Cricetulus griseus: one gene and its partners. The protein of the gene in region 4 interacts with the protein of the main gene of each other region in a pairwise test. Links are inferred from orthologs where the notes say so. Each region holds a gene or a part of one and is shown on either strand. Other genes may lie near its edges.

What was found. The genes of interacting proteins can lie anywhere in the genome.
Region 1: the proteins of Ubqln1 (region 4) and Zg16 interact in binary tests that used the Homo sapiens proteins (3 or more experiments, as listed by UniProt). The link is inferred for Cricetulus griseus from reciprocal best matches to the Homo sapiens genes UBQLN1 and ZG16.
Region 2: the proteins of Ubqln1 (region 4) and Nme3 interact in binary tests that used the Homo sapiens proteins (3 or more experiments, as listed by UniProt). The two-hybrid records come from large-scale screens. The link is inferred for Cricetulus griseus from reciprocal best matches to the Homo sapiens genes UBQLN1 and NME3.
Region 3: the proteins of Ubqln1 (region 4) and Agpat5 interact in binary tests that used the Homo sapiens proteins (3 or more experiments, as listed by UniProt). The two-hybrid records come from large-scale screens. The link is inferred for Cricetulus griseus from reciprocal best matches to the Homo sapiens genes UBQLN1 and AGPAT5.
Region 5: the proteins of Ubqln1 (region 4) and Klhl42 interact in binary tests that used the Homo sapiens proteins (3 or more experiments, as listed by UniProt). The two-hybrid records come from large-scale screens. The link is inferred for Cricetulus griseus from reciprocal best matches to the Homo sapiens genes UBQLN1 and KLHL42.

The regions. Positions count from the first base shown.
Region 1 is NC_048596.1:73,700,669-73,704,055, forward strand, and holds Zg16 (zymogen granule membrane protein 16), read left to right. Parts: upstream 1-1,274; coding exon 1,275-1,329; intron 1,330-1,502; coding exon 1,503-1,635; intron 1,636-2,556; coding exon 2,557-2,872; downstream 2,873-3,387. UniProt on the Homo sapiens protein: May play a role in protein trafficking. May act as a linker molecule between the submembranous matrix on the luminal side of zymogen granule membrane (ZGM) and aggregated secretory proteins during granule formation in the TGN.
Region 2 is NC_048600.1:44,489,636-44,492,410, reverse strand, and holds Nme3 (nucleoside diphosphate kinase 3), read right to left. Parts: upstream 1,615-2,775; 5' UTR 1,523-1,614; coding exon 1,477-1,522; intron 1,403-1,476; coding exon 1,272-1,402; intron 1,179-1,271; coding exon 1,077-1,178; intron 1,001-1,076; coding exon 888-1,000; intron 820-887; coding exon 702-819; 3' UTR 516-701; downstream 1-515. Other genes in the region: Mrps34 (28S ribosomal protein S34, mitochondrial), read right to left, coding at 1,958-2,250, 2,330-2,372, 2,545-2,775. UniProt on the Homo sapiens protein: Catalyzes the phosphorylation of ribonucleosides and deoxyribonucleoside diphosphates, other than ATP, into the corresponding triphosphates with ATP as the major phosphate donor.
Region 3 is NW_023276807.1:62,409,612-62,413,707, forward strand, and holds the start of Agpat5 (1-acyl-sn-glycerol-3-phosphate acyltransferase epsilon), read right to left. Parts: upstream 2,816-4,096; 5' UTR 2,538-2,815; coding exon 2,319-2,537; intron 1-2,318. UniProt on the Homo sapiens protein: Converts 1-acyl-sn-glycerol-3-phosphate (lysophosphatidic acid or LPA) into 1,2-diacyl-sn-glycerol-3-phosphate (phosphatidic acid or PA) by incorporating an acyl moiety at the sn-2 position of the glycerol backbone.
Region 4 is NC_048596.1:277,204,145-277,207,499, forward strand, and holds the end of Ubqln1 (ubiquilin-1), read right to left. Parts: intron 2,356-3,355; coding exon 2,203-2,355; 3' UTR 511-2,202; downstream 1-510. UniProt on the Homo sapiens protein: Plays an important role in the regulation of different protein degradation mechanisms and pathways including ubiquitin-proteasome system (UPS), autophagy and endoplasmic reticulum-associated protein degradation (ERAD) pathway.
Region 5 is NC_048601.1:2,620,133-2,624,146, forward strand, and holds the start of Klhl42 (kelch-like protein 42), read right to left. Parts: upstream 2,816-4,014; 5' UTR 2,572-2,815; coding exon 1,751-2,571; intron 877-1,750; exon of another isoform or gene 796-876; intron 1-795. UniProt on the Homo sapiens protein: Substrate-specific adapter of a BCR (BTB-CUL3-RBX1) E3 ubiquitin-protein ligase complex required for mitotic progression and cytokinesis. The BCR(KLHL42) E3 ubiquitin ligase complex mediates the ubiquitination and subsequent degradation of KATNA1.

The sequences.
Region 1 (3,387 bases), about 200 Mb from region 4:
GGGAGAACATTCCTCCAGGCCTCTAGGATTACATTCTCATTTGCTTGTCTGTGTTTTCAGACAGGGTCTCATACTGTAGCCCAGACTGGCCTTGAACTCATGATCCTCTTGCCTCGCCCCAAATGTTGGTGTTACACACATGAGCCACCATGTCTGAATTAATTATTCTCTTTAGATTCTAGCTGCTTTTCCTGCCCTTCAGTTGGACTTTAAGAAAATTTATTACATCTCTTCACAAATCTGCACTTTGTCTAGAGTGGACCCCACCTTGCCACCTGTAACCGTAGCGGGAGAGGCGGGATAAGGTGTTCCAGACCCTGCTCAACACCTGACCCTAGGAGGTTGGTCATGTTTGCTCAGCAGGTGAGGTTCACATAATAAAGAACAGTGGGAGGGCTTGGACCTGGTATAAAAGGTCTGGGAATTTCTAGAAGATTTGCACCTGAAACTGCTAGGGGAAAGGTGAGTTGGGGGAAGACCTCCAAATCTGAGCTAGGAAAGACAATGCCTGGACTGTAGCAGGGCAGACGCAGGCAGCAGCTCCTGGATGGGAGCTATTTTGGGGTGCAAAGGTGTCTGGTTTTGGCTAAGGGGGGTGAATATGGACAGGCTTAGCTGTGGGAGACAGGGTTATGACACACAGACAAGTTGCTTGAGAACTGATGTCTGAGCTCGTGCAAGCTGCTCCTAAAATCTCTTCGCCTCGCTCAGTTCCGCCAGTGCTCCCTGGACATTGGCGAACTGTCTTCTATTGTCCTTTGCTCTTGAGGTGATACAGAGGCACCTTGAAAATGTTCTTTGCCTTGATTTAAGAGTAGAGTGATGCTAGAGCTTTAACTGTGCCTCAGACAGCTCATCAACCATTTGATTTCAGGGAGGTTTTGCTCTGATTCTTGGATCATCAGTTCAACTGCCTCAATATTTTGGGGGTGACCTTTACTTCCTCTTCAGAAAACTCTCTCGTGCTTTGTGCCTGCATGAAGGGAGGCTTGACTCAGTTTAACACAGACGGAAAGTTTGGATTATCTTTTTGGATTGGGAAAGAAGGGTTAGTTAGGTACGGTCAGAACAGGGAGAACCGGAGGGATTAGGGGCCTGGAAAATAATATCTGAAAGGAACAGGACTATCCCTGGGCAGTTTTGTAGGTCTCTTAGATCTGAATTGAAATATCACCATGACATGGGTCTGTATTCCCAGCCAGAGATGCCTGGGTAAATGAAATCCAGAAAGCAATGAGCCTTCCTTTTCTCCCTCTTCCCACTGCAGCCTCAGAATGCTGGCCATCATTCTCTTAGCCCTTCTTTGTGCCTCGGCCTCTGGCAATGCCAGTAAGTGAAATGCCACTGACCTGGTAATGGGATAATGAGAAGGCAGCCCATGTACTGCTGATGCTGGTCAGGGCTGCCTGATACTGGTTTGGGGTGGTGGGGGAAATGGGGGTAGTGGAGAGCAGCTGTGCTCCCAGAGTATCTGTCCCTCCAGGCCTTTCTTTCTCCTCTAGTTCAGTCCAGGTCCTCCTCTTACAGTGGGGAGTATGGAGGTAAAGGAGGAAAGCGATTCTCTCATTCTGGCAACCAGCTGGACGGCCCCATCACTGCCATCCGTATCCGAGTCAATTCACGTTACATAGTAGGGTGAGAGTCTTCATGTTTCTGTGGTTTGGGAACTGTCTGGGACCTTACTAGGTTGGGAAAGTCTCATTCACTCTGGATCACACCTGTTTAAATCGGTAAGTCACAGTAATGTGTTGGAACACCTGGAGTCTAGATCTGTGCTATTCTAGTCCCCTAATACACATGACCTTGGCAAGTCAACAATCACAAACTCTCAGGGGTCTCACATTACCTGGGTTGGATTTCACCTGAGGTCTAAACCTCTTTCCCATATTTCTGTCGGGCATACTTTACCTGTGCTTGTTGTCTGTCCTGGGGTAGTCCCATCCCTTCCTCCAGCTGGAAACTTCCATCAAATGCAGAGCCAAATGCATTTCCTTCTAGTCTAAGTTCTGAACTGTGACACCGTGCTGGTTCGTCTCTCCTCTGTCTTGCCTGGGACACTTTCCAGTGTTTGAAAATCCTTGGGCTTCTTTGAAGTTTGTGTTGGCGGTGAGCTCAGACTCTGGCTGTCTGGGTGACTGAGTTCCACAAGCCAATATGCCAGCAAAATGAGAAGCCGAGATTCTCTGCATGGTCTTCTAAGGCTCACGCAGTCTTTGTATCTCATGGAACTTGTCACCAGTTTGAAGATACAGCATATAGACTAAGAAGATATATATATATATATATAATATATATATATATATATATAGTTTATTTTATGTTTGTGTGTGCATGATATGTGGGGGTGCCCAGGTGCCCCACCGTACATGTGGAGGCCAGAGGGAATCTTCTGTGAGTGGGTTCTCCCCCTCCACCACGTGGGACCTAGGGGTGGAACCCGTGTGGTCAGGCTTGGCAGCAGGCACCTTTACCAGCCGAGCCATCTCTCCATTCCAGTCTTGAATTGTAATAACCATGTTCCACGTGTTCCTTCTTCCTTCCCACCCCTGCCCCCAGTCTCCAGGTGCGCTATGGCACAGTGTGGAGTGAGTATGTGGGTGGCAAGCAGGGAGACCTGGAGGAGATCTTTCTGCACCCCGGGGAGTCTGTGATCCAGGTGTCTGGGAAGTACAGGTATTACCTGAAGCAGCTGATCTTCGTGACAGACAAAGGCCGCTACCTGCCTTTTGGGAAAGACTCAGGCACAAGTTTCAACGCCATTCCCTTACACCCCAACACCGTCCTTCGTTTCATTAGTGGCCGATCTGGCTCTGTCATCGATGCCATTAGCCTACACTGGGATGTCTACCCTAGCCACTGCAACACTTGCTGAAACCCACCTACTCTCTGGCAGCGGGTCTGTGTGGGTGTGAGAACCCTCTTATCACCAAGCCCCATGCAAACATGCAAATAGCTTAATAAAAGGATATGACTAAAGATGGTGTTTGTCCACATCCTAATTCTAATAAAAATGTGTGAAACTTATTTCTGGACTTTTTAAAATATTCAATTAAAAACATTTTGAGACAGGATCTCTCTACGTCCTGGAACTCACTATGTAGACCAGGCTGAACTCGCAGAGTCTGCCTGTCTCTGCCTCTGGAGTGCTGGGATAAAAGGGGTGAGCCACCATGCCTGGCTGTATCTGGCTACTGTTGAACGTTAATCTAAGGAAATGGGAGAATAAGGATGAGATGTGCTATGGGCTTTTCTTTATGCCATCAAAAAGAGACAAAATTCTGCCTGCACCAACTCTTCCCAAGGACAGCCCCTGAAAATTTTTCCTAATAGGACTTCAGAGGCTAGGGTAAGGCTTGGTTGTACCAACTTGCCAAAACTCACTCTCCA
Region 2 (2,775 bases), on a different chromosome or scaffold from region 4:
CCCAGTTCCCGGACACGTACTAAGTGCCTAGGGTTGCCAGCTGTGGCCTGCTCCTTTGGAAAGCAACTAACAAGAGGCTGCCAGGCAGAGGCCAGAAGAGCTGAGGATTGGCCAGGATGGGCACAGTTAAAAGCAAGTGTGTGGAGGCAGGTGCTGCCCTGGCCCTGGTCTTAAACTCTTCCAGGGGCAGTGATCAGGGTCAGCTGGCTTCTACTGCCCTCTCCCAACCAGAGAAGCACAGATCCAGGGGTGTTGCCCCTGAGCCCATCTGGCCATGACGAGCTGCATCAATATGCAGCTGTAGGCTTCTCCCCACCACCCTGCCACCTCTCCACTGTGATGTATGTCCCTTGTCTGTTCCCACAGGATTGTGAAGTGACTGGGGTTAACTGGGTGGGTGCAGCTGGAGGAAGGGGCCAGTGCAACTCTCCTCAGGCTTTGGCCTTGCAAGTGAACTCACATATCTGCTCTGTATGTAATAAATGTCTTAACACTACTTTTGTCTTGAAACTATGCCAGTGCACAAGGGTTTTCTGCAGTTTATTATGAAAAGAAATACAGGGAGGGATGTGGGAATGGCTGTCCCTGGACAGACTGGGTTGGGTGGACCGGCACCCACAGCACTATCACTGCTGCTGAGTTTCGTGAGGCTCGCAGAAGACCAACAACCTCCAGGTTGGTAATGCTGACTTCTGTGCCGTCTACTCATATAGCCAATGCCCGGCGCTGTCTTCCCAGCACAGAAGTTCATCCTCACGGAACCAAAGCGCAATCTCTCTGTGAGCACTTTCCACCGAGTCACTGCCATGAATCACATTCCTGTGCGGGAATGGCTAGTGAGCAGAGGAGGAAGGGTGAGGGTGGCCAGGGAGTTTGGTAGTACTTACTTGCCAACCTCCACGCAGAAATCCCCACGGATGGTGCCAGGCATAGCGTCCCCTGGGTCAGTGGCCCCTATGAGGGCCCGTGAGGCACGTACGACGTCCAGCCCTTGCCACACCTGCAGGGAGTACTGTCAGCGCCAAAAGGGCTCCCCCAAGGCTTCGCCCTCCCCTTGCAGGTCATCAGAAACTCACCATGGCCACCACCGGACCAGAGCTCATGTATTTAACTAATCGGCTGTAGAAGGGTCTCTCGTGCAGCTCCGCATAATGCTCCCGCAGCAGCTCTTCGGAGGCCTAGGGGAGGGGTAGCTTATCAGTGCCAGGGCCCTGACACTATGCCATCTCGATTCCCTTCCTGGATCTACCAGCTCCTTTGTGAGCCCATACCTTCACTAGCTTTAGTGCCACCAATTTGAAGCCTTTCCTCTCAAAGCGACGCACGATCTCGCCCACCAGCCGCCGCTGCACGCCGTCGGGCTTCACTGCCAAGAACGTGCGCTCGTTCACGCCGCTGTAGGCTGCGGGAGCACTGGTTTCAGGCATGCCCCACCGCACTGCCCTCAGCCCAGACCCAGCCCGCCCTGGTGCTCACCTGCGGGAAAGAGGTTGGCGAAGATGGTTAGCACCAGGCAGATCATGGCGGCGGCTGGGGCGGACCAGGCGGCGAGGGGGCGGGGCCTCCCTTAAAGGACCTCGGGGCGCGGACTCTGCAGTCCCAGCACATTTGAGCCCAGGGCACAGCGACAGCGCCCAAGACCTGCCTGAGTGTACTGGAGCACCAGGAGCCCTGCTCCGCACTCCCGGCTTCCCTACTCCGCCCCCACCCCACACCCCGTCCTGAGGTGCCCACGTAATGAAAGCACAACACCGGCCGCTTCGTGCATTTATTTCCAGACGCAGGTATGAGCAAAAGGCCACCTGAAAATGACAGCCTGTCAACTGCCCCATCATTCATTGGCAGGTGTGTCAGGGCTGTAGGGTCTAACTCTCCACCAAAGGGGATGTTTGTCACAGTCTAAGATACTTGTTCATCAAATAACAAACATGGCCACTCTGCCCATCATGGATGGCAGTTAGACTGGGGTGCCCTTGGCCCTCCCTTTGGTCTCCTGTTTTGCAGGGTAGTCCCAAGGATGCACCCGAGTCCCCTCTAGGTTCAGGAGCGGTTCCTGGACGCTGGTATCCCCGTTTTTCTGTCGTTCAGCGAGGATCATGGCCCGCAGCAAAGGTGGGTAGGGGACAGGGTTCAATCCGTCCTCTGGTTTGGCAGTGAAGGCTGTGAAGGCCTCCTCTTCGTGCTTGGGTACCAGCCGCCAGTCGTGGTACATGACTTGCTCGATTTCCCGAGCTTTATCCTCAGTCTTCCCTGGGGAAAGAAGATAAGCTGACTGTCGGCTGGCTGGATAATCTGCGAACCACCGATTCCAAGCAGCACCCAGCCTTACCTTTGAAGGTCAGGATGCCCCAGGCCCTCCCGTGGTCCAGGTTCTGCAGAACAAGAGGGGGGATTGTCAACGTAGCGCCCCTGCCACTAAGTTACGTGGGTAAGGGAGACATAAAAGCCCAGGTGGTTCGGGGTGGGTAGAACCAGCTGATGTAGCCCAGGGTGGGCAAGATGGAGAAAGCGTAGACAAGAACGGGCAGCACAGTGAGAGCGCACCTGTGCCGTGTAGTCGGGTCTCACGCGCGTGAGGCGCCAGTAGCACGGCTCGTCGTGCTGCCACAGCCAGGACTTGCGGGTGACCAGACGGCCCAAGCCGAACACTGGGAGGCGGGCGAGCAGCTGGAAGAGGCGGCTCTCACGGCGCACGTCGGCCCAGGCGCGCACCGGCAGCCGGCGACCCGAGTGCGGCCGGGTCAGAGTCTCGTAGTCTAGGGCGTAGAGCTGCGA
Region 3 (4,096 bases), on a different chromosome or scaffold from region 4:
TATACTGGTGTGGGCAGATGGCTCAGTGGGTAAAGCACTTGTCACACAAGCTTGAGGACCTGAGTTCAGATCTCCAGAATCCACATGAAGCCAGACATGCCTCTGTATAATCCACTGCTCCTACAGTGAGATGGAAGCAGCAGGATCTGGAGACCACCTGGAAACTGAAAAGCCAGCTGAGCTGGCACACACGTGGTGAGCAAGAGACCCTGACTCAAAAGTACAGATGAAGATCAACACTCCAGGTTGACCTATGACCTCTATATGTATGCCATGGCACAGTGCATCCACAATCATGAATATGCATACCTATGTACATGCAGCACAAACCACATGCACATAAAGAATTTTTTCTTTGTGTAAACCTGAAGGGATACACAAATTATTCAGAATTTTAGCAATGAATATGATCTCAAAAATGAGATTAGGAAAGAACCTATGTTTACACAGAATCCAATGTAATATCCACAAAATCTGCTTTTGACAGCAAAAGAGGCCCTCCTCCTCACCTTCTCCCTCCTCAAGTGGAATTGGTTGACAAGAGTTTGGATATAGCTGCCTGAAGACTATCCTAAACTATGTATATTTTCTAAAACTAATGCACCTAAGATTACTAATACAGCTAGTGAACCAAGGTAGAAAAAAAGCCTGTGTCTTAAATTCTTGTGGCTAATGAACAGTTAATTACTTTGATTTTATTTTCATCTATATTCCTACCTAACCATATTTCTTCTCATGTGTAAATGTGTTCCATGTCATTAGGAACCCACTAAAATTGCATATACTAAAAGTCTAAGCCAGGCAAGGTAGCTCATGTCTCTAGTCTCAGCACTCAGAAGACAGAGGTGGGCCGATCTCTGTGAGCTGAAAGACTATGAGGTCTCTGGAAAGAGTTTCTGCCCACCAGGACTACATGGTGAGATCCTGGTTGGTTTGTTTTTAAAGCTCGATACAGAAAGAGGAGAGGAACACATTTTTTTTCTTTTTGTCTTTCTCTTAATCTTAGTTTTAAGAGTGTCTCCTTCAAACTGAAAGGCCTCAAATCACCTCGAGAGCAGCTGCTGTAGCACTGGGGTATGTTCCTTTCATAAGGTTTGCACTCGACTGTCCTCAAATGCATGTCCTCTCCCAATCAATAAACTCGCTTAACTTTGCTTCACTTTGACTCATCCTGAATGTCTCTGCGGCAAGAATATGGGCTTGAGAAGAGATCCCTGAGGCTCTGAGTGAGGGGTACTTGTCCTGTGCAAGATCAGCAACCTTAAGTGGCATTCCCAGCTGTCCCAACTGCTAGTGAAAATATGTGAAATTAAATTCTTACCCACGACTAAACCATACATTCATTTGACAAACTTGGTAAAGTAAAAGTGAGGGAAGAAGCAATCAGCCTAGAATTCCTGAAAATTCTGACTGACACCCTAAAAGACAATTGCTCAGAAACCTCAACGTGGAACAGTGATTTTTCTGTTTCCTAGGAAAACATTTAAAAGATCGTGTGATTCCTAGCCTCTCCTAATTCCCTTCCTCAGACATCATTTCCAACTGGAGCAAACTCAATAAGCGATCTGTCCCCAACTGCAGCCACGGACATTGAATGAAAAGAGCTGGGAAATGGGGGGCGGGGGAGGGACAAATGATACAGCTCTATTTTGCGTCATGAACATTAGGAAGACCCCATACAGAGCTCTTCTTTCAAACTGAAAACTAAAAGGGAAGCCCAATCCTAAGTTTTTATGAGACTTCATACAACTAAGTCATGTTAGGAGGGCTTCTCTACTTTTATGCTTTTCCAAGTTCAGTCTCCACAGAAAAAGAAACAAGTAGCAGAAAGAAAGCAATCTGACCAGAGATCAGCCCCACACTGAAGCCCAGGCGAAGCTGGCGGAGAACTGTATCCACAGTGAGGCTCCTATTGTAACCAATGTATTCATTTCCTCGCCAGGCTCTCGCTTTTCACTCGGGGAGGAACGCGAGGCAAGAGTTGTCCTTCACCACTGTCACTTGGGTCAGCGTCTAGAGGGCTTCCTAATCTAAGAGACCTCGGAAGTGCAGATGGAGCCAGTCCCACCATCACCATCTCGGACTCCGTGTCCTACTTTGCCAGGCACCGAGACGGGCAGTAACAGCCGGCAGGGGCGGGGGTGGGGCGGACCCGGGGACACACTCAGCCTCGGCAGGACGTTCCAGAAGGAACCCCAAAGTGAGACCCAGAAACTGTCCCCCGCCCGGCCCCGCCGCGGCGGGAGGGAGGCCGGGTGCGGCGGCACGTGCTCGCCGGGCTGCGAGCTGCAAGCTGCGCCTTCCGGGCCGCGCCTCACCTGGACCCCGGTGTAGTTCTCGAAGAAGAAGAGCACCATGTTCTGGTAGACGCAGTAAAGCCGGTCGTCCACGCGCTGGTAGAGGCGGGCGGGCAGCAGCGCCGACAGCACCCGCCACAGCGTCCAGGCCAGCAGGTAGGTGGGCGCCGAGCCCAGCAACAAGACGCTCGGAAGCAGGTAGCGCATAGAGTACGTGTGGAGCACCAGGGACAGCAGCATCCTCTCGGCTCGCCAGGCGCGACTCCGCCTGCCTTGCCCGTGCCGCCGCCAGGACCTCAGCCACCGCCGGCCGCCCGCCAATCACCGCGCGGGGCCGGCCGCGCCGCCGCCCTCCACCCTGGCTCCGCCCCCAGCATGGGCCGCGGGGCCCCGGGACCCGGCGGGGACTGTGGCTACCCGGCTCGCCGCCACCGCGGTAAGGGCACGCCTCGGCTTGCCCGGCGTGCCCGCCTCGGGGTGCTCGCCTTGGCGTGCTCGCTTTGCTCCGCGCGAACCGCGCCTGTCAGCAGCGAGGCGGCGTGAGGCAGGACGCCCAGGTAATAAGGCGCCTGCAGATTGGACGGCGTGTGGCCGTAACACGCGCTCTGATTGGTCCGGGCCCTTCTCGTCCCTACGCATGCTCGGCTGCGGATGTTGGTTGTGGTTGAGCCCGGGAAGATGTGAGAAGGTGGACTTGGGCCTGTGAAGGCATTCAGCCTTGGTCCTGCGTGGAGAGATGGGGACAGGAGGATGCTCCCGGACAGGAGGATGCTCCCTGCAAGACACGCGTGAGCCGAGGTCGTGGAGCGCAGGAGGGGCTCAGCGCCGCAGGTTACCGGCAGCTGCGGCGCTCCTTCCGGCCTGGTCATTGCAGAATGAGGCCGGGTCTGTCTCCCGTAACCTCGGTTCACCTTTCACAGGACTGTTTCTCCCCCCCCCCCCCCATTAGACCTTTCAAAGCTCCACTCTTGCTTTACTTTGCAACTCCTTGCCTTTTAACTTGTTTCTGCTGTGCTTCTTTCTAGTAGCCTACGTTTCTTCTTTTTTTTTTCAATGTGTAGAAAAGTACTTTCCTATACGTGTAGAAGTTCTGTTCCCGCCAAAAACAAGGACAGTTAAGGAGCAGTAAAACCTTATATAGAAGGACTTATATAGGTCCTTCTGCCTAACTAGTGGAGACAACCTCATCCTAGAAGGTATAGAAGAAAACAAGCCTGTGTGCATATTCAGATCTTTATAAAGTCAATTTTAAATTGTGTGTATGTGTAAATATGTTGATTTCTGTGAGTGACCCTGTGAGTGCCTCTGTTTCTCCCTTTCTGATCCAGACCACTGAATCATCTTCCCACTACATGTCTACTCCCTCGTCTTGCACTTGCCTTCATCTTTTGCCCCAAGTTACTTTCCCATCACCTCTTGAGATGGACTCAGGGCATACAGATGACTCATGTAGTATGCACAATATGTCAGGAACAGATGGACATGTTTATGTATGTTCATGATGTTGGGATTTATTGAATTACAATAAGTTCCACAAGTACTGTGGTTTCACTGGCACCAAAGAGTCATGCTTTACTTGGCAGCCTTGGCTAAGGCAAATAAGGTCCTTTTATTGCATTCTTAATTACAGATATTAACCCTTACATCACACATACATCACTCAGTAAGTTTATCTCTGTATGTTTACATATGTAGATATGTGTGTTACACTGACTACAAAGGGTTAAAAGGGGCAAGGAAACTGGTAGGGATACAAGAGTCTATACTGAGAACATGTGTACCATAAACTCAGCTGCAGA
Region 4 (3,355 bases):
TATCTGGTAACTGTTGAGAGTTTCAATTTTCTCCCCTCCATTCTTTACTCCAATGGCTCTAAAGACTGACGTGGCGGAAGAACAATCTATGCCTGTACTCAATGTTTTCCAACCACAGGCTCTGCTGTTCTTATGTAGGGTCATCCCTAAACAAACCTACTGGGAGCTAAAGCATCCAGTCAAAGAGCACTCAGCAGCCCTAACCTACCAGATGGCTCATTGTCTCAACACCACCTAGCGGGACAGGCTGGCTCACAACCGTTATCACAATACTCAGGAGGAGGACCAGTGCAGATCCAGTCTGGGGATACATACATAATGAGTTTCAGAATAGCCAGATCTACGGAGTAAGACAGTGTTGTACAAACCACTGCTGTACCCCTTCCCCAACCCCCAAAAGAAATATCCAATTAAAAAAAAAAAATCCAGAATAAATCAAGCCAAATAGCCTTTAAGACGTGTTGAGAAAAAACAGACATTTTTTCTACAAAAGAGGCAAGACAACCAGTGTAAAAGCTGGAGATTTATTGTTATTTGTGATTAATAAATCAAACTGGCTATGACACAGCCCCTCTGTGGTGCCATTCACCAGTACAAAAGTCTCTAACCCAGACATAAGGCAGAGAGAGCAGAGAGACACACGAGCACTACCTTCACCAGCCAGGCCTCCACCCCGACTTTTGTACATGCTTTCTTCTTGGGGACAATGTCAGAGCAGTGCACAGTCTGGGGTCAACCTGACCTCTCAACCTTTTAATAGCAAGCAACTTACAGAGTTAAAGAGTTCACCATCTACTTCCCTTGATTTGTTTGTCTGAAGTCACTTCAGATTATTTTAACATTATAACTTTGGGTAACTGTACAAGAGAGAATACAATGACCTAAGAGAATACTGAACCAGAGTCAGCCAAGTATGTCACTGACCCTAAAGTTATATTTTAATTGGTCCCGAAGGAATGTATCACCCCAACAGTGTGAGAGTTAGGCAAACAGAACTTCTTTGGGAAGGAAGGAAGAGGCTATAGCATAGCCAAACTTACTCAACTGTGAAAACGGCTCTTTGTGTTCACCAGACTGACACTACTGTATGCATAAACTCTTCACAGACCTTGGTTGTCAGTATCACTTAGTTCAGGCTGGCCCAATCCAGAATAGATTCTGTCTCATCCCACCCCCACCCCCCTCTGAGGCTCTGAACAGCACGACAGACATTCAACTACTTCTTCGTAATAGAACTAGGCAAACACTTCAGAAACAAGTGGCTCACTCACTAATCATTTTAAATCCGGGTATTGCCTATGAATGAGAGAGCTGATAAACCCAAGAGACAGCTCTACTTTTATATGGCAATTAAGACGGAAACGTCAGCACTTTCAGGGAAGACAACATTTCAATCCCACTCAATGCTGCCTGGACACCTATGGGGAGCAGGAAGCCCCGGAAAATGCACTGGAGTCTGTTACAGTGCTCCTCAGTCTGAACAAAATATAGGTAATTTACAGCTATTATGTGAATGCTGAGATATTGTTACATTATATTGTCTGTACAATTAAATGTCCCTAAAGAGATAACCAGAGTCAGTTTTTCTTTATTTCCTGCTGAGAGGTGTTTATCAAAGAAGCTGTAAGATTCTACACAATTAGGAATCCTTGTTTTACTTTTTTGGTTACAGGAATTTTGCTTAGATGACCTAGAAATGTGCAGTAATTTGTACTGTATACAAATAAGCAAAATTGTCAGTAGTACAAACCTTACAGCATTATTTGCAAAAATACATGCCAAAGTCACAGTAAGCAATATTGTACCACAAACCATGGAGCGCAAATGATCTGCTTTTAATGCCTTTATTCTACATAAATTACTACCATGGGGTTATGTTTAAAAAGCAAGTTAGTTGGACAGATGCAGGACAAAAATTTGTTCACCCAATTAGAAAAGGTGATATTTAAAAAAAAAAAAATTACAATAAATGCCAAGTGTTTGATGCATGCAGCAGCCTTAACTGAAAACATTGATTCCCACTGTTTCACAGAGATTCAGAACCCAGCACAGAAGTCTTACTGCACTCCACCTCAGGTGCTTCCTACCGGTCTCTTTTATAACAGCACAGAGTTCCCATGAAATAAAGCAGGTTATTTTAAAGATTTAAGAGCCGTTATCAAAAATAAATTACATTTTTTCCCCCAGGATACAGAAATGCTGCTATGATGGCTGGGAGCCCAGCAACCGTTCAATTGCTGCGTTGATGTCACCCCCTGTTGCTATCAGTGCTTGCAAGTTTGCTTCACGGTTCAAAAATCCCATGGCACTGAGCTGTTCCAGTTGTTGCTGGAACCTGACTTCTGGGCTCTGCAGCTGTTGAGAAGAACAAAGAAGCACATTCTAAGGAGAGGCAGTCTTCAAACACCTCAACTGCCTTTTAAACGGTATACGCTGGTTGGCCAAGCTTGTTTTAAATTGCTACCTGTGCCTTGAGATATAACCACCATATTTGGCTATTTATTAAAGAGAGTGAACTTACTCAACTAAAATATACAAGACCATCTATAATTATTTTATAAACAAAGTGGACATTTCCAGGTGTTACTTTGTAATTTATCCTTATCATATTTATCATATTTACTTCAAATGAGCAAAATATGATTTAAAATAATTTAGTTATAATTTATAAATATATTTAAAAATTGTTTAACATTTTATTTTAGAATAGTTCATTCCTAAACTATGTAATTCTGCCTTTAAAACACCTTACAGAATGGGGGTGAATACTTGGGGGCCTTGGATTTGATTCCCCAGGCCCTCCCTCTCTCCTCTCACAATGGGTAAAACACGCTCAACAAATTCCATTACTTCAGAGGCTCATGAACAAGCAGAAACTCTTTTAAGAGCCCATGTAAAGACAGCTGGTGCTTTCTCTTGTATTGATACTGAGTGTACATCAATTACAATATACTAACTAGCCTGATGGCAGAATTTATTTTCTAACCTTATCTTAGGTGTTATATGTGTTTCGCCTGTATGGGTACCATGTGCATGCCTGATGCCCACAGAAGTGAAAAGAGCCCTGAGACTGGAATTATATATGGTTGTGAGCGGCCATGTAGGTGCTGAGAATTGGATCCGGCTCTGGAAGCACAGCCAATGTTCTTAACCACTGAGCAAGTCATTTCTCCAGGCCTCCTTAATGATAAATTCTTGGTAAAGACAATAAATGTTCACAGCTACAAGACCATTACTAAGGAGTCCACGTGTTCAGTTACTACAGGATGTGCTGGGGGAGTGGACAGGCTACAGTTGGAAGCCTAGATATGGCTGTTCTGAGACACTGACAATGTTTTTAGGTTTTCCCTGATAA
Region 5 (4,014 bases), on a different chromosome or scaffold from region 4:
ATGATGATATAAATACCATGTTACAGTAGGTCGGATGGAAGCCCACCAACCCCTAGTAATACCTCTGGAAGGGAGAGTGGGTGGCACATTCATCTCTGCTTCTTATAATTCAGCTTTCCAGGGCTTTCTAGGATTTACTTTTTATCTTTATTTGGTGCCTATATGTGTATGTATGCATGTATGTGGGTGCCTGTTAGCTACAGATGCCCTGGAGATGCAGCTACAGGTTATAGCACCCAGTGTGGGAGCTGGGAAACTGAACACCACGTCTTATGAAAGAGCACCAAGTGCTCTCAGCCTCTGAGCCATCAGGACAAGGTATGTTCCTGCAAATAACCCCTAACCTAAGTGTCTCTTGTCCTGCGTTGGACCGGGCAGTTCCAGTTCAGATTTCTTCCTTCTAGTTTCCAGTCATTTCAAGGCAAAGACCACAGTGGGATCTGGGTGGCAGCAGGTGGCCTGGTAGAGAGGGCCTGTCCTGTCGTAGCTACCCTCCCCACCATTTCTGGGGCACTGGTGATTGAATGGAGGCCTCATGAGTTCTAGGCAAGCGCTCTCACACTGAGATATGGTTTTCCCACTCTCCTATGTTTTGCTTGTTATCCAGGCTGGCCTGGAACTCACCTGCAACCTAGAAAGGCCCTTACCTTGGAACCTGCTCGCTTCAGCAGTCTAAGCAGCTGGGGCAACAGGCCTGTAAGACTGAGACAACCTGGGACGACTGTCTGGACTCCCTTTCTCTTCCTGTGTCTGCTTTTTTTTTTTTTTTTTTTATCTTGCTTTCATTTTCTTTTTCTCCAGGCTCCTTTCCTTACTTCTCCTCCCACCCTGACCTCCAAGCTCCTCCATTTCTTCTCTGAGCCACCCATGGTCAAGGTAAGAGGGCTCCACAGGAAGGGAATGAGTGAGGGAGAAAGGAATGAATGCACCTGGCCCTTTGAGTCCACAGGTTCATAGATTCAAACAGTAAGCAGGGGAAGTGTGTATATTGACAACACTGACAAGGTAGATACATTACATTTGAAGCTGTAAGGAACATAGAGATTATTTATTGTAGAAAGCCAGACTCGTTAGTGCACACCTTTAATCCCAGCACTCCAAAGGCTAGAAGGCAGGAGGATCACTTGAGCCTAGCGAGCTCAGGAGTTCAAGACCAGCCTGAGGAAAGAACACACCAAGATAAAGGAAAACCAAGGAACATAAGCAGGGGGGTACATGTATGCTTCATGCTAATAGCTGCAGGATGCTCAGGCAGACAAGAGACTCGAGGGGCAAGGGCATGCCGATTCTGTAGTTGATCCTGCTCTGGGCTCAAGTTTTGGGTCAAAGATGATTGCTGTCTAGGGAGGAAATAAACAAAAAGAAGGGAGAAGGAAGGGGAAAAAAAGAAGTGAATCCCTTTGTGGCGCGTATTAATATCATCATCCTAGGGACGGCGGATTCCTACCCAGGTGCAGAAGGATGCAAAGTCACTGGCAGCGACAACCAAAGTTCCTGAAGCCAGAGTGTTAGATACTGCTGCCAAAGAGGCATTATAATTCGGATCAGACCAGGGAAGGAAAGAGAAGGAAAAAACAGCAGTCATCTTCTGTAATATCCACTTCAAACACACCGAGACAGAGAAACCTGAGGCCCGCACCTGGAAGAAGGTCACTGGGCGGGCCGACTTCCTGCTGGCAGGCCCCGGGCTCCCCGGGAACTCTGCCAGGACAATGAATGGAGGGCTCAGGCCCTGCCGACAGACACTTACCGTTTCTGGTTCATGGAGGCCACCTGCAGCCACTCGTTGGTGGTGGGGTTGTAGGAGTGTGCGGCCGAGATCTCCTGGCTGGTGATCCTGTACCCGCCCACGATGAAGAGGTAATTGTCCAAGACGGCTGAGCCGTAGCCTCTGACGTTCACCAGGTCGGGGGGCAGGTTGTTGGCCAGCGGGAACCAGCGTTCCGTGGTCTCCTCGTACCTAAGCATGGACGGGGGTTCCCCCTGATACGGGTGCGGGGCCAGGGGTCCCCCGAGGAAATCCCCCAGGGCCACCAGAACCGGGGTCCCGCGCATGCGGGCCTCCCTCAGCCTCTGCTTCAGGCTGCAGTCCCCCGGGGCCTGCGGCGGCGACAGCAGGAGCGGGAACTGCGGCTGGCACAGCACCTGGTGGAAGCGCAGCGCCATAAAGCGCAGGCAGGCATCCTGCAGGTCGGGCAGCCCGTACACCTGAGCCAGGCGGTACAGCTCCAAGCAGTTGCCCAGACGCACATGCGACAGCAGCAGGCGCAGCAGCGCCGTGACCTGCAGGAAGGACGCGGCCTCCACCAGCTCGGCCAGCACCTCGTCCTCGCCCAGGCCCCAGCCCTCGCGCGCGCCGCCCGCGTTGATGAAGTCGAGCACCAGCCGCAGGCCCGGCGCGCTCAGGCCGCGCAGCTGCTGCACCTCCGGGCCAGCCTCGGGCCGCACGGCCTCGCGCATGCCGGAGCGGTAGAGCGCGCGGAAGTAGTCGCTCTGCTCGATCAGCTTGCTCTTGCTCACCGGGTAGCAGCGGCCTTCCAGGCTGATCTGCACCACCTCCTCGGCGGACATGGCTGGGCCGCTGGGCCGCTGCGCCCGCCGCCCGCCGCCCGGCCGCGCAGGCTCCTCCCCCGGGCTCACACCCTCCGCCGAGCCGGGCCTGCGCCCGCGCTTCCTTCCGCCGCCGCGGGCCCCCGGCTCAGCGCCGCCGGCACGTCATGCGCCCTCCGAGTAAATGGCCTCTCTGTGTCTTTTATCGACGTGTCCGTGTGGGTGCGTGCGCGTCAGCGCGGGTGTCAGGAGGCCAAAGGCGTCACACGACCCTGCAGCCCGAGGCACTGGCGGTTGTGAGCCGCCCTACGCAGGAACAGGAACCGAACTCCCGACCTCCGCAGCAGCAGTGTGCACACTTAACCACTGCGTGTCCCTCCAGCACGGTCTTTTTGTAATTGATCAGGAAACAAAGAAACAAACGCGCCGGTTCGCCATGCCCTCTCCCTATGCACAAATCATTGTAGCGTTTCCTGCAGCAGCTCAGGCAGCTGTCCCTGCTCAGTTTTCTAGGACCAGTCAGTCAGCACTGCTAGGTTTGCACTGTGACCGGCCTGGCCTGGTGGTCCAAGAATAATACACTGAGGGATTACTGGAGCTAAGGAGTTTTAGAGGTGTTGTTAACTCCATGGACAAGACAGACAGACACAGACAGACGGGCAATGGCATAGTCGGGCCTCCAAGGAGAGTTCAGAGCTCAGCACCAGAAGCAGCAAGTAGGGTCTCTGGAGAGAACCAGAGGCCAAGAGAGCACCCGAAGGGGCAGGGGCGGGTGGATGGAGAGGGCACTGAGGTGCATTAGGCCTGTCACCTCCAGGTAGAAGTCTGACCTGGGCAGCACCTGTCACTCAACACCTTGCCCGTCTCCCCTGGAGGCTCACTTGGTTAGAAGACTGATTCCTAAGGGCTCGCTGTGGTGAAGTGGTAGTGTTTGCAGGCAAGGTGGCCCGCATTGAATTCCCCAGCATAACTGTGTCAGTCCGTGGGCTGCTCCACAGAGAGGGGGCTTTCAGCCTTTGTGTTCTGCAGAATACAAACAAGGATAAGGCACAAGAAAGTACAGAAAACATTCTAGTAGAGTCCAGCCTTGCTGGGGCAAAGGGCCACTCACACACACACACACACACACACACACACACACACACACACACACAGACCCCGGACTTGTTATACTTTGTTACTTTCTTGGATTCTCTGAGAAACTGGAGACATTGCACTGTATGATTGACAGGCCTTGAATCATTCCTGGATGGCTTCCATGGGTTATCTGTCTGTCACTCTCAGTGTTTGGGGTGTGAGGAAGGTGCAGGTGCGGGGCCAAGGATTTAGCAGTCTCTATGGCAAGGCAGAGTGCCATGTCTAGGATTAGATGTTAGGCTGGGGGCTGCTGGGAGGCATGACGTCAAAGAGGCTGGACCTGATCTGTCTGTACCTCCTTTAGCCACGAGGCAGGGATCAACGGGT